3 linked regions of the Nothobranchius furzeri genome follow. The protein of the gene in region 1 interacts with the protein of each later gene in a biochemical or structural test. Links are inferred from orthologs where the notes say so. Each region holds a gene or a part of one and is shown on either strand. Other genes may lie near its edges.

What was found. The genes of interacting proteins can lie anywhere in the genome.
Region 2: the proteins of disks large homolog 4 (region 1) and sema4c form a complex in vitro, tested with the Homo sapiens proteins (2 studies listed by BioGRID and IntAct, with this or other methods). The link is inferred for Nothobranchius furzeri from reciprocal best matches to the Homo sapiens genes DLG4 and SEMA4C.
Region 3: the proteins of disks large homolog 4 (region 1) and gucy1a2 interact in a test that uses a peptide from one of them, tested with the Homo sapiens proteins (2 studies listed by IntAct, with this or other methods). The link is inferred for Nothobranchius furzeri from reciprocal best matches to the Homo sapiens genes DLG4 and GUCY1A2.

The regions. Positions count from the first base shown.
Region 1 is NC_091750.1:46,441,280-46,446,678, forward strand, and holds the start of disks large homolog 4, read left to right. Parts: upstream 1-2,035; 5' UTR 2,036-2,896; coding exon 2,897-3,013; intron 3,014-3,104; exon of another isoform or gene 3,105-3,191; coding exon of another isoform or gene 3,192-3,233; intron 3,234-5,399. UniProt on the Homo sapiens protein: Postsynaptic scaffolding protein that plays a critical role in synaptogenesis and synaptic plasticity by providing a platform for the postsynaptic clustering of crucial synaptic proteins.
Region 2 is NC_091757.1:30,300,829-30,305,363, forward strand, and holds the end of sema4c (semaphorin-4C), read right to left. Parts: intron 2,783-4,535; coding exon 2,691-2,782; intron 2,480-2,690; coding exon 1,584-2,479; 3' UTR 1,352-1,583; downstream 1-1,351.
Region 3 is NC_091753.1:35,403,264-35,408,130, forward strand, and holds part of gucy1a2 (guanylate cyclase soluble subunit alpha-2), read right to left. Parts: intron 1,369-4,867; coding exon 1,225-1,368; intron 1-1,224. UniProt on the Homo sapiens protein: Has guanylyl cyclase on binding to the beta-1 subunit. Isoform 2 acts as a negative regulator of guanylyl cyclase activity as it forms non-functional heterodimers with the beta subunits.

The DNA.
Region 1 (5,399 bases):
TGATTTGTATGGTTATATGTTACCAACAACTGGGCATCATTTGAGTCATTTTCAACAACACTTTGATGGATATTTTCAGAGATTAACAGCAAAACCTACACATTGTCTCATTGAGATTTGGTCCTCGTTTTGGGACATACAACCATTATGTCCTCTGCTGTTCTGAGGGAATGTAAGAGTTCGTACGGGATAGTTTTGTCATGGTCTGTGTCTGCATCTCCCCTCATGTGTCTCCTTGTGTCCTCCATTCGTTCTCTAGGTGCTCCTTTTGTGTCCTAGCGCCCTCATGTGTCATGTCTGCGTCTTCCTCATGTGTCTTCTGGTTTTCCCCATTTGCCCCTAGATCTCCAGCCCTCTAGGTTTATCAAGTCATTTCCTTTAGTTACAGCCTTTCATGATTTATTATGTTTTTTTTTCCCATCAGTGTTTATTATTTTTCTCCCACCCTCCCTTTGAATTGTAGTCATGTTTCCTGCTCTTTTGTATTAGGTTTTATTCTTAGGTCAAGTGAGTTTCTCCCCTGATTAGTCATTGCCTTCACCTGGTCCTCCTCCCACACCCCACTCACCTGCAGCTCATCTCCCTCTCATCCTCCCTGTGTATTTAAGCCCTGTCTTGTCTCAGTCTCTTGTCGGCCCATTGTTTGTATTCTGTCTGCGTTTGTTTGTGCTCTTTATGAGCTTTTTGTCTCGTCCCCAGACTTTGTGCTCTAGGTGAGCTTCTGTTTCAAAGTCTTTGGTCTTCGTGCTCTTTGAGAGCTTTGGGTGTCCTGTGCTCCAGGACTTTGGACTTTAGGCTCGTTGCCTTGGATTTATTTTTGTTAAAACTCTAATAAAATAATTTTTTCCTTATATTTACTCCTGCCTCATGTCCTCCTGGGTATCTGCATATTTGGGTCCTAAACATCCCCGAAACGTGACAAGTTTCTCAATATGCGTACTTGTGAAACGTCACTGAAAATGGCATCATCATCAACACTGGCCCAAGTATTGTTCCAATCTACCATGGCAAGTTCCCTCAAGATTGCGTCAACGCAACCTTCTGCAGACTTGGGCCTGCAAGGACAGTGGCTTGTAATTCATCATGCTTAGGATTACAAACCGTTGTACCTCAAACTGAAAATGGCATAGGAGAAAGCTCGTAGCTCTAGAGTATTCATGTCAAAAATACAAATAATGAAGTCTAGAAAAATAAATTAAAAGTTGTTTCTTATTGTAGATAATTGTCCATCCATCCATTCATTATCTGTACCCGCTTGTCCACGCAGGGTCACGGGGGGCTAGTGCCTATCTCCAGCAGTCTACGGGTATAAAAGCGGGTACACCCTGCACAGATTGCCAGTCCATCGCAGGGCAACACAGAGACACACAGGATAAACAATTAACCATGCAAACATTCACACCTAAGGACACTTTAGAGACACCAGTCAACCTGAACGTCATGTTTTTGGACTGTGGGAGGAAGTGGGAGTACCTGGACAGAACCTGTGCATGCACAGCGAGAACATGCAAACTCCATGCAGAAAGACCCCAGGTTGGAATGTAAACCTAACGCTAACAACTGTGTAGCCCACCATAGATAACTGTGCGTGTAACCCATACATTTGCTGTGTGGGTTTTATAATACCTCAAAATGAAACTTAGCTCATCCACTATTAAAATAAAACCAACGTAGCTTTAAACAGCTCTGTTTGATGAAAAAGTAACATATTTTTCTTCAACATGCCGTGACGTAATGGAGTACGGTTCAGATCCAAATGCCGTCCTTGTACCCCCGTATTCGTTAGAACGGACTTTCTCCTGTACTTATCAAGAACGCACTTGTCAGTTACTCAAGAACATGCTAGCATAAACATCCCAGTTTTTACGTTGTGGACTTAAAGAATGCTTGTGACTGCACACCTCACTTCCAGTTGTTACTGCTAGGCGTTCTGGAAGATCACTGTTGGTCCATGAAACCCAAATGGTCCCTGAACATCGATGATGTGGACATTACCATCTTCCTGTGGAGAAGAGTGAGTTCAGATTCATCTGAGCAGCTCATCAGTGCCGAGGAGAATCACGGCTCCTCTGCATCAGCGTGAGCCAGCTGAGATCATTGGCACATCTGCTAAGGATGTCCTCTGGGTACCTGTTTCCAGCATGACCCACCAGGAGGAGGCCTCCAAACAGATTTAGTAGGAATGGAGTAGTTAGATTTCCTAGCTGGTGTGGGAATGCTTTGGTTTTCCCTCGGTAGGGCTGGAAGAGGTCGCTGGGGAAATGGGGGGAGGTGTAGGGATCTCTGCTAAGGCTGCAGTCTCTGCAACCTGGTTACATATAAGACCATGGATGGATGAGTGCTTCAGTCCTTCCTCTGTCTCGCTCACCTCAGAAAACGTCTTCCACCAAACCTTAGAATTTAAAAGTTTTAGCAGGACAGCTCAGAGTGTTATCATCCCAACAAACCATCCTGTTAAGATTCTCGTGGGAATTCTGCAAAAGCAGGACAGACATCAATGTTGGACCAGTTTTCTGTAGGAATCTACTTTTTCCCCTTCGGGAGAGACTAGACTGGCTCCAATAATGGCCAAAACTTTGTAGTCGTTCAGGATCTTCGAGGAGGATCAGCAGCATGAGTCTGATAAATGAAGACGTGTGAAGGAGGATCTGCACAGAGAATAAAATGATATGGATGCACAGAAGTGTCAGAAATCTGCATGTTGAATATTTATGAAACAAGTTCCCTCTTATGTAACAGACACTTTTCTATGGGCTCTTTATTTCTGACATTGTTTCAGCGCAGGAGCAAAAGAAAGAGGCAGCGATGATAACATACTACGGAGGGTTGATTCACTGTCTCTACGTCTCCTCTCCTTGTCCCTCCCTCACTCATCGGCAGCAGCCAACATATTTTTATGAGTCACGGTCGGAGCAGACCGCTCGTCCCGTCTTTTCAGCCTCTTGCCTTTAATATCAAGATATATCCAACAGCAACAACTCTGGCTTCCAGGAAAACTCTCGCTCCTCGTCTGGTACGACACGTCCCTCCCTCCTCTTGTCTCGCCCTCCCTCTCTTTTTATTTCCTCTTCCCCTTCCCCAGCCTCGCACCCCCCCCCCTCTCTCTCTTTCTTTCTTTCTTTCTTTCTCCCCATCCCTCCCCTCCTTTACTGCGGGTGTCTGGGAGGCTGTTTTTCCTCTGTCTCTTGCTCATGAAGGGCCGCACTAAGCTCCCTTCTCTCTGCCCATGTGTGGTAGGTAAATTCACCTCTGTGTTTGTGACGTTCTTCTCTTTTCCATCTCTCTGTTGCTGCCTCTGATTTGCATGTTAGCTCAGAGTCTGCAGGCTTGAGGGGAGCTCCGTGTCTACATGTGTGTATATTGCATCGAACATGCTCGTCATCACGCTCGTCATGGAGAAATCACAAACATGTGAATGGGGATTTGGTCATTCCTTCATGTGCATTTTCCACGTATGAACACGGCCTGACACATGTACCGGTGGATCAGGGAGCATGTTCTGAAATGCGTAGGGAGGAAAACTCCAGCAGACTTGTTGATTAAAACATTGTTTGTTCCATTTAACGGCAGGTTATGCCGTAGCTTTCTTTTGTGAATTAATCACGTTGGTGTGCATTTCCATCCTACAGACCCCAGTCAGGGCCAGGTATAAAACTGTTGTGGCAGGAATTTGATATATGATTGGTGTTTATGTGCGGAAGGTGTTATGTTGCCTGTGTAAGCCTGAGAGGGTTGGTTTTAATGGGGAAGCAGAAGTCAGCACAACACCGGATGTGAAATGAGGGTTTAGGGACCGTCCACAAACTGCAGCATTAATATTCAGCAACATCTATGTCCCATCACTGAACCCTTATTAGATGTTTACGAATCGTGTTTGTGTTTCCGTCTGATGTCGTTGCATTAGTTTAAACGTTTGCTGAAGCTTCATCTTTGGTTTTTGATGTGGCTCCTGTGGACGTTAAGCTCAGAGAATGGTTTGTTTTGATTCAAATTAGACTGAGTGTAGAAGGAAGGTGACATTATTGAATTTCTTTAAGAGTTATTGGTACCATTATCTAACCTGGACCGTCCCTCCCTGCAGGAATACTCCTCAGTTTTGTCCCTTTGCCGGGTTTCTGCTGTTGCCACGTTGTTCTGTTGTGTCATGGGTGATTCTGCAGGTTGAGTGCTTTGCAGTCTTGTTTCTGATTTTATTGTATTTCTGGTACTTCCTGTTTTATTTTGTGCATTCACTTCCTGTCTCATTACAGGCAGCTTCACGACATGAGGCTCCTCACTAATCAGCCTCATGTCTTGCACCTGGGTCCTGGCTTCTCCATTTAAGCGTCTTTGCAACAGTTTCCTTTGCCAGTTTGTCTTCTCCTGTTGTGTGATGTGAACCTGCTCTCAGAAACACTTGGTAAAAGTGTATTCAGTTAGATTTGGACTTTTCAGTTGTGTTGTACTCCAGGAATCCCTTCTGCTTATTAAAACTGGGTGAGCTCTGCATTTGAGTCCTCTTTGTGCTTTGATATGTTGCTTCTTTGTGGTCATTACCTTCATTGGGGAGATTTTGGTTTTCCTCTTCAGAGTTTTTGATTCAAACAAAAAAAAAATGCAGCATTAAAAGCTTTTAAACAACTCTGTTTCCAGCTAGATTACAAATCACTCCCCTCAGGCCTTCTCCTGAGGGCCATTAGAACCTTTGTGTTTCCGATGTTTTGATCCCGTTTCTGATGATGTGGGTTGATGTGAAACTGCCTGGAGGTCAGATTCTGAGTCAGCTGAATCTCCAGACCTCCATCTCTGTTTAATCTACTGTCGTGGCCAAAAGTTTTGAGAATGACACAAATAGTAGTTTTCACAACATTTGCTGCTAAACTTCTTTTAGATCTTTAGTTTAGTTGTTTCTGTGATGTACTGAAATATGATTACAAGCACTTCATGCGTTTCAAAGGCTTTTATCAACAACTACATGACATTGATGCAAAGAGTCAGTATTTGGAGTGTTGGCCCTTCTTTTTCAGGACTTCTGCAGTTCGACTGGGCATGCTCTCAATCAACTTCTGGGCCAAAGCCTGACTGATAGCAACCCATTCTTTCATCATCACTTCTTGGAGTTTGTCAGATTTAGTGGGTTTTTGTTTGTCCACCCACCTCTTGAGGATTGACCGTAACTTCTCCATGCGATCAGATCTGGGAAGTTTCCGGGCCATGGACCCAAAATTTCAACGTTTTGGCCCCCGAGCCACTGAGTAATCACGTTATGCCACGGTGCGCCATCGTGCTGGAAAATGCATTGTTCACCAAACTGCTGTTGGATTGTTGGAAGAAGTTGCTGTCGGAGGGTGTTTTGGTACCATTCTTTATTCGTGGCTGTGTTTTTGGGCTAAATTGTGAGTGAAACTACTCCCTTGAAT
Region 2 (4,535 bases), on another chromosome or scaffold:
GTTTGAATGAATTAAAGTACCTTTCATTGGTTCATGGCTGCTTCTCTTCTGGAGCCAGGTGTTTGTCACCACGGCAGCAATCGGCCCGTCTGTCTGTCCATTCTTCCACTAATACTGCGTGTTTGTGTGTGTCGGTGTCCACAGTAACCCCAGATCAGTCTCTGGGCATCGGTAAAAGGGGATGGGGGCTCCAGGAGGTCACAATCACTTTGTACTCTGGGATGGCTGGGATCCATTAGAAGGTGAAGGTGTGTGTTGGAGTGGTAGTTTCCTTCTTGGCAGTGCAAGTTTCCACCCTCACCAAACACATAAAGCACTTACTGAGACATCCACAGCGGTCGCAACAACGAGGGTGCATTTACATTCTCCGTGCCCTTTTGTCATCATGTCAACTTCAGTTTGGAGTTATCTGTGCAATCATCGTTCCACCGCTATGAGCTGAAAGCAAACAGCCTTTTTGTTTTGTCCTGGGGATGATCGAGCGTTCAAAGGTCTGAATCAGAAACACCAGTCTGCCTGTAACACGCTGTGATTCGAATAAATGTCACAGGGAGTGCACTTGTAGATTTGAAGGTCACCGTGCAGGACCGAGTCAGGAATAATGTTATGTTAAGGAGGTTACCCTCGCATTGTCTTTCACAGAGGTGAGCCATTAGTCACTCTCAAACTGTTACAACACTGCTGTAGTCCGTGAGTCGGAAAAAGAACGACAAGAAATATATTAATTCAAACCAACCATCACATTAAATTAAAGTGGAAGAAACTGAAGAACTCCTTCAGCAGTAAATGCGTCGTGGAGGGTGGGGGTTGGGGTGGGGGGTGTAAATCAAGCAGAAAATGTTTTTAGAGATAGTCCTTCACCCCCCCCCCCCCCCCCTGCATCTTTAACTCTTGTTTGCTTCACTTTTTTGTTTGCTTGTATTCTTTTTGCCTCTCGTCGCTCCTCTCCTCTTCTTGTCCCACTCGGAGCTCCTGCCACAGGGACATGATTGTCGTCTTGCTTGCTGATTAATTAGTATTTCTTTAGTAGCGCTCTCCTTCCTGGCTCACGAGTAGAAAATAGGGAAGACACGCTTCCAGTTTTCAGGTGCAGTAAGCAGAAAACGTTCTAAAGCAACACAAACACAGAACCGGGCCCGTTTTTTTCAGTTGTTTGCTCTCGTCGCCTACTGGTTTCAGCGCGAAGGATGAGTTCAATGTAAAAGAACGAAATGTGCCCTTCAGAGAGCAAAACGTTTGTTGGGTTTCCATGTCAGAGGAGGTCGCCTCTGCGTTCATCCTTTTTAAATACAAAATTTACACAAGTGGCAGTTGCACAGTGGAAGCAGAGAAAGTCACAACCATGACTGCGTGTTGCCCACAGCACAGCAATTATAGGAATGCATGTTGTATGAGTGTGTGTAATAACCATGCTGTGTGCTATAAACGTCTTAAGAGAGCCAGTCAGGCATCAGCAGAGATAGAGAGCGTGGGTGTCGACGGCATGTCACTAGAAGACAGAGAGAGCAGGCATCCTCACAAAGAGGGAGGTAGGTTGGTTGCTTTGTTTTTCCACCTCAGGGAACGGAGCTGGAAAGACGGGTCTAGATGGACGACTCCTCCGGGTTCGCGTCAGGCAGGACGCTTCTCTGCTGCAGCGTGCGTCTAAGCTCCTCCTTAAATGGGCTGGAGTAGTCGTTCCCACCCACGCTGAGACCTCCCAGCCCGCCACCCCCAGCGCCGGCCCCACTAGCCCTCTCCTCCCCTGCTGTGCTCAGATTGAGGCGGATGTAACCATTGCTACCAGAGCCTCGGATGTTGGTGAGGCTGAGACGGCTGGGGGAGTGGATGGGCTGGCCAGGAATGGCGCTGGGTGATGCCGTGCTGCTGACGCTGCTGGGCCCCAGGGCGTGTCCGGGAACGATCTTCAGCGAACCGTCTGAGTAGTAGTAGTTGGCACCTGTTTCCCAGAATCGGTCTTCATCGCTCGGCATCTTGCTGGGCACAAAGGTGGGTGGCTCCTTTGGCAGGGTGACGGGGTAGACCAAAGTGCTCTCCAGAGGCTTCATGTCAGCTCCTTTCCCCAGAGCCAGCTTCAGCCTCCTACGCAGATAGAGAGCCACCACAAAGAGCAGCAGGCACGCCGCGCCCAGAGTGATGACCAGCACCCAGAAGAGCCCCATGCTGCTGTCCGGAGCTCGGGCTTCCATGAATACCGGAGCACTGGCAACAACCGCCACCTGGTAGCGCTCCGTCTGAAACTTGACCCCCTGCTCCTCAGAGTAGCAGATGTAGCGGCCTGCTTGCATCTGGCCTGCCTCGGGGATGATGAGGGCTTTGAGGGCTCTGTCGAAGCGTGGCCCTCCTGCTTCTGGGTCACCCAGCAGCAGCTCCCGCTCGTTGACAACCCAGAACGGCTGAGCCAAGTTTGACACGAGTTGGCACGGCAGCACCATGTCGGACCCAACAACCACTGTGACATTTCTCAGATGGGAGTGCTCTGCAGAAGAACATGAGGGATCAAGAGAGAAGAGAGGAGAACACAAAAGTTCAGGTTGTTTCATCCGTTAAAAATCCAGACAGCACTTTTCTGCTTAGCTCCATTTATTTATTAACTCAGTCCTGCTCCATTCCACCTTGCAGAAAACCTGACCTGCAGTGACAGTTCAGTACCACCAGAGGTCACTAATGAGGCACTGTCTTATACTCACCGGGGCTGGGGATGGAGACGGGTTTATCGAACTTGGCTTTCCCACGATTGAACCTCTCCAGCATGAGGTCCTGTGAGAGGGACGAGGTGGACCTGGACACGAGAGGGGTGAATGAAGAAGACAACATTCAGATTTGAAAGAGAGAGCTTAACCCCTTCTTTCCACCGGAGCCGTCAGCAGCACGTTACTGCAGCAGCACGTCTTGCTCGCGTAAGCTGCTGCTTGGCCCTTCCCACGAGACGCGAAGCAGCAGGGGAGCAGCTGTCACCGACAGAGCACGAAGTCACGCGAGTGACTTCGTCAGTAAACACAACAACAAGCAGGAGAAAACTACAACATGGCTCCAAAAGGTTTGTGTTTTATGTTCTGTCCATTTTATAATCGCCAATACGGACCTGAAAAACAAAGGAGACCGCTAGCTAGGTGATAACTTCTCACGGGGACGCACAGTTAGTAACTATTTTTTAAAGTAAAGCAACCGGAAGGCAGTACGTTTCTTTATTCTGAAAATCTCGGGAGCTTCGCTCCGTTTCCGCATCCCATTTCCGGTCTTTCCTTCCCCAAAAATGTCGAACTTGACCCGTTTCAGAGGCTTCGCGGGTAGAAAATAGAACCGGCGCGTAAAGGCCGCGACATGCTGCTCCTGAGACGTGGCCGACTCGCGCTGCTGACCGCTCTGGTGGAAAAGGTTCTGTTGACCACAGCGGTTCCTATCAGCAGCTATGACGAGCTGCTGACGGCTCCGGGGTAAACATTACTGTACATGAGGAGGTGTAGAGCAAACAAAAGTAGCAAAAAAGATAAAACACGTACTTCAGTAATACTAGACATGATAGATATAACACAAGCCTTCACATCAGTGGTCCGCAAATAGTGGCCCGTGGGCCACGTCCAGCCCGCGAGCCCTCTCTTTGTGGCCCCCAAACCCCGCCTGCACCCTCCACCCCCACCCCCGACGGCCGACCGGGAGGCGTAGGATAGACAGAGCTGAGGAAAATAATCAAATAATCAATGCATGAGATGCGAGCATAAACGATTCTGCATCATAGAAGAGTACCATAATCAATTACAGTGGAATGTGGTTTTGTTATGTTAACGGCGGCACCAGCGCAGCATCCACATCTGTAAGAGTGGTGTTCTCCACATTTACCGGGTAGGAAACTTTGGTCCGCCTTTATGTGGTACTGCAGGGCTGAGCACTGGAGTTAGAACCTGAGACAGGACCCTAACCGAATCAGCCCGATCGGTTCTGTTGGATTTGGGTCGTGAGCTATGTTAATTGAGCGGGTTGTCGTGCAGCGCGCTCCGCTCGCTCCATCAGCGACTGAGAGAGAAAGAGAGTCGGGGGGGGGGGGGGGGGGGGGGGGGAATCGGAGGACACTCCTCCAAACATGCATTATTATTTCCATAATTTCATTTTTGTTTCTCCTGGAAGCGCTCAGTCAGACCGAGTGCTGTGATGTCGGGAGATCCGGTCTTGGGGAGGGAGCGGGGTCAGTGGCGGCGGCTGCAGCGTGATCGTCTGTCTCTTTTATTTAGGGACACGGAGAAGTTAAAAGGAGAGAGAAATAGAAGATAGAAGTTCTTGTTCCACTTTATTCTTTTGTTTCATGAAGATAAACTGATGTTAAATTCAGCTGAAAGAGAAACTGGGAGGAAGCTTTGGTTCATTTTTAAGTTACAGGAGATCTCATTTCCTATCTGCTCCTCCAGAGACAGCATGGACATGAGGGCTACATGGTAAGGGTCACACAGGACAGGTTAGTGGTCACACAGCCGAGCTGGAGGGGGACAGGTGTTGTCCAGCTTTATATTGCAAGCTTGTGTGTTATGTGCATTACAGCC
Region 3 (4,867 bases), on another chromosome or scaffold:
TTAGCTCCAGAACCGGATCACAGGTGTCTCTCTCTCTCGCTAAGCACTAAACTACGTTACGTGAACGGATAATGAGTATGAGACCGCTGACAGACGCTCATTAGTATTAATATTTGTTGCACAAATGTAGAATGACCTACCAAGCACTACAAGAACAGGGGTTTCCTTTTCGACTTTCAAGAAACTCCTGCATTTCAAATAGTATTTTTGGACAGCATTTTATATGAATTAAAAAAAATTGACCTGCAATTTGCTCTTTAAACAAGCTAGCTAGCATTGTTCACTCACTGAGACACCTGCTCGCTCCACAGAACCTCCTGACACCACAGCTAAATTTCTCCTTTCTCCCTCTGGCTTGTCTCTGCTCTCTGGGGCACACATCAGGTTCATACCTGTATGGTTGAGATCCACCATTAAGTATAATTATAAACATTTAAAGTTTCCTCTGTGTCGGAGCTGGCATCAAAATCCAAATTTTTCTCTGGATCAAGCTAACAGCACTCCCTCTGCCTGCATCTTGTCTGGTTTGGCAGAAAACACATTTTTCTCCATCAACTCTCAACGCCTAAATAATATATGCATGCGTTCATTTTTATTTAGAATGAGTTTTTATTATGTTTCTCTGAATATTTGCTCAAAGGAGGCTCTAACCTGCAATATGCTCTTTAAGAAAACAAAATGCAGCTGGCCACTCCAATCCCTCCCCTGATCTGGCTGCTATGAGCACAGAAGCTCCATTATTCAAGAGGAGCTCAAAGTAGAGCTGCTGCTCCTCCATCAGCTTGCTCTTGAATGTGAAAAGTGTTGTTTTTTTTTATTATTTCCCTGTTTGTGACATCACAAACAGGGACATGTTGAACCGGCTTGTTTTAGGGCCAAAATTCGTAAAACAAAAACTGACAGAAAAAAAGATTGATTTTTTTTTGGGGGGGGGGGGGTATAGAGGCAGTAGTGATCCACATGGCAGCACAAAAGGATGCAGAAGGTGAGTTTCACATAGTATGCCCCCTTTAATGGAAATAAAATCAGAATGTTAAACCCTGAACACAGTAACAATTTATGAGGTGTTTAAGTAATCTAATTACATCACAAATTCCCATCTGTTTCTTATCTATTCCCTTTTTGAACGACACACATAGTCAACACATTTACATTACAAGTATTATTATCAATAATTTACTAACCTAACAGCCTGACACACTTGTAGGGAGAATTAAAACTCACCTTGATAGGCTTCCCGTCAGGCGTCAGCACCTCTTCAGACAGTTCCATCATCTTCAGAGCCATGTGGGCGATTGGTTTTGCGTGACTGTCAACCTTCTTGTGCAGCCCTCCAGCCACGCAGTAGGCATCACCTATTGTTTCAATCTGCATGAGAAAATAACAAGGCCAGAATCAAGAAATAACATAGTGATTAGGTGTGGTGAAGTAAACTATTTGAGCCTGAGCAGAGAACCAGTGAAAAACAATTGGTTTTCCTCTAATCCCCAACATCGGTTTGCTCAGTGTCTACCTCACATTTAACCTTAAATTTTCTTCTGAACTCACAAATGTGATAGCTCAAATTCTTATTACAATAGAAGTTAAAAAAATAGTTTTTCTTTTTATCTGCTTGAAAGGATCAATAAAAATGGGCTAATAAATAATTTCAGTTGATTTCTGTGACAGATTTACCTTTTAAGCAAATGTTTCTGTTGAGTGACTAAGTTAGTGAAAATGGTTATTGGTCGATTTTTAAAAACACAAACACATTTGTGTTATAAAAGGTTACTGCCACAGGATTTTAAGGTTGCTGTAATCAAACCTTCACTTAAGAAGCCTTCTCTGGATCCAGATGACCCAATGAATTAAAAACCAATATCTAACCTTCCATTTTTATCCAAAGTCCTGGAGAAAATAGTGGCCATCCAAGTATGTGAGTATTTAAACACTAATGATCTGTTTGTTTCAGTCTGGTTTTAGAGAGTATCACAGCACTGAAACTGTTAGTGAGAGTTACAAATGATATTCTCATGGCCTCAGATGAGAATCTTGTGTCTGTTCTAGTCTTGTTAGATCTCAGTGCTGCTTTTGACACAGTTGATCACAATGTTCTTTTAGAAAGACTTGAACATGTTGTAAGGATCAAAGGAACAGCGTTAGGCTGGTTTAAATCCTACCTGTCTGATAGATATCATTTTGTAAATGTACATGACAAATCTTCATACTCCAAGGTTATTTGTGGAATACCGCAGGGTTCAGTGCTTGGACCGATTCTTTTTACTATATATATGCTCCCAACTGGTAAATTCATTGTCACGTTATGGGGATGGTTAGGACCCAAAAATGCAGATACCCAGGATGACACGAGGCAGGAGTTGATATAAGAATAAATCCTTTTAATTGTAGGATGAAACAAAAATAACTCCGAAGGCAGGGAGCCAAAAATCCAAAACCAGAAGAACAAAAGCTCACCTAGAGCACAAAAACTAGGACGAGACACAAAGCTCACACAGAGCATCAGAAAACGCTGACATACAAACAATGGCCCGACAAGACAGGGCTTAAATACACTGGGGCATAATGGGAGGCAGAAGAGCTGCAGGTGTGTGGGTTAGAGGACCAGGTGAAAGCAATACTTAATCAGGGAGGGAACTCACATGATCTAAGAATAAACCTAAAAACAAGAAAAGCAACCACATAACTAATATTCTAAAGGGAGGGAGAACTACAAAGACCAGTGGGACAAAACATACTAAAGAGACTAATAAAATGAAAAGCTGAAACTATAAACACTGCAGAGGGGTGACTGGAGAAGACTAAAGGAACACAGGACCTGAGAGATATATCTGGAAGGCTGAAGACCAGGGGATGAAGGAGAAACACAAAGAGACAGACAGACCATGACATTCATTAGACAGTATGGGATAAACTTCCACTTTTATGCTGATGATATGCAGTTATATCTATCCATTAACCCTGATTAACCTAATCAGTTAGATTACAGGCTTGTCTTGAAGACACAAAAAACTGGATGACTCTAAACTTTTTGCTTTTAAATCAAGACAAGATTGAAGTTCTCATCTTTGGACCTGAAATTCAGAAAAGGAAATTGCTTAGTCAATCACATGGCCTGAATGGCATTAAATTAGTCTCCGAGAACAATGTAAGGAACCTTGGTGTTATCTTCGACCAGGACATGTCATTCAAATCCCACGTTAAACAGGTTTGTAGGATTTCCATTTTCCACCTTCGGAATATTGCTAAGATTAGAAGCATCCTTTCCAGGAGTGATGCTGAAAAACTAGTTCATGCATTTATTACGTCAAAACTGGATTACTGTAATTCATTACGCTCAGGAAGTCCACAGAATGTAGTTAAAAGTCTTCACCTTGTCTAAAATGCTGCAGCTACAGTTCTGATGAGAATTAAAAAGAGAGATCATATCTCTCCTGTCTTAGCTTCCCTACATCAGCTGCCTGATAAATTTAGAATAGATTTTAAGATCCTCCTTCTCACATATAAAGCTCATAACCATCAAGCTCTATCATGCGTCAGTGACCTGATTGTTCCATACGTTTTTAACCGAGCACTTTGCTCTCAGACTGCAGGTTTACTGGTGGTTCCCAGAATATCTAAAAATAGGATGGGAGGCAGATCTTTTAGTTAAAAGGCTCCTCTCTTGTGGAACCAACTCCCAGTTTTAGTCCGTGAGGCAGAGACTTTGTCTACTTTTAAGACTAGGCTTAAAACATTTTCATTTGATAGGGCCTATGGTTAAAATCTGATGTTAGCCTAAATCTGGACAAGTGGGGGAGTAGAGGGAGATGGAGTGTGCAGTCGGTTAAGACGGCTCTCCCTTGCCCTGCCTCCAACATGCCGCCATCTAAAAGGCTAGGTTATCCAGAGTTATCTCTGTAGTTATGCTGCTATAGGCTTAGACTGCTGGAGGACACACTGACCATTTTCCACATTCTACTACTTTCTTCTACAATCTGCTCTTTAACTGCATTATTTCCTGCAATTTCAGCTGTTAACTTTATTTTTTCTCTGTGTTTTTCTCCCAAGAACAAGCTACAATGATGCTCTGCTGAGCTGTGGTAGTCTCATGGAGGGGGGCCATCGTCCTAAACACTGTTGCTAACCATTTAATCATTCTCCCTCTCCTGATAATAACACTTTGCTTTCCTTGATGCTACTACTAGTTTACCCATTTAATTATAGATTCACTAGGATAAATACAATAAAGTTTATCCCTCACCAAATAGAATATTTGCTAAGAAATCACAATGTAACCATAGAAACCTTACTTGGTGTGTGTGTGTGTGTGTGTGTGTGTGTGTGTGTGTGTGTGTGTGTGTGTGTGTGTGTGTGTGTGTGTGTGTGTGTGTGTGTGTGTGTGTGTGTGTGTGTGTGTGTGTGTGTGTGTGTGTGTGTGTGTGTGTGTGTGTGTGTGTGTGTGTGTGTGTGTGTGTGTGTGTGTGTGTGTGTGTGTGCTCTGTCTTCTCGATCCCCAGTGAGTCATGGAGGATGGCTGCTTATACTGAGCCAGGATTCTCTGGAGGTTTCTTCCTGTTAAAAGGGAGGTTTCCTCTCCACTGTCGCTGCATACTTGCTTAGTATGAGGATTGCTGTAAAGTCACTGACACTAGGCAGTGACTCGATGCAATTTGCTGGATTCCTTATATAGCAAACTTTTTTCTGATTGGCTTAATAAATTGATCTGTATTGGAATGTTCATGGGCTGCGCATTGGCGCAGTGGTTAGAGCTGTTGCCTTGCAGCGAGAGGGTCCTGGGTTCGCTTCCCAGCCTGGGATCTTTCTGCATGGAGTTTGCATGTTCTCCCTGTGCATGCGTGGGTTCTCTCTGGGTGCTTCAGCTTCCTCC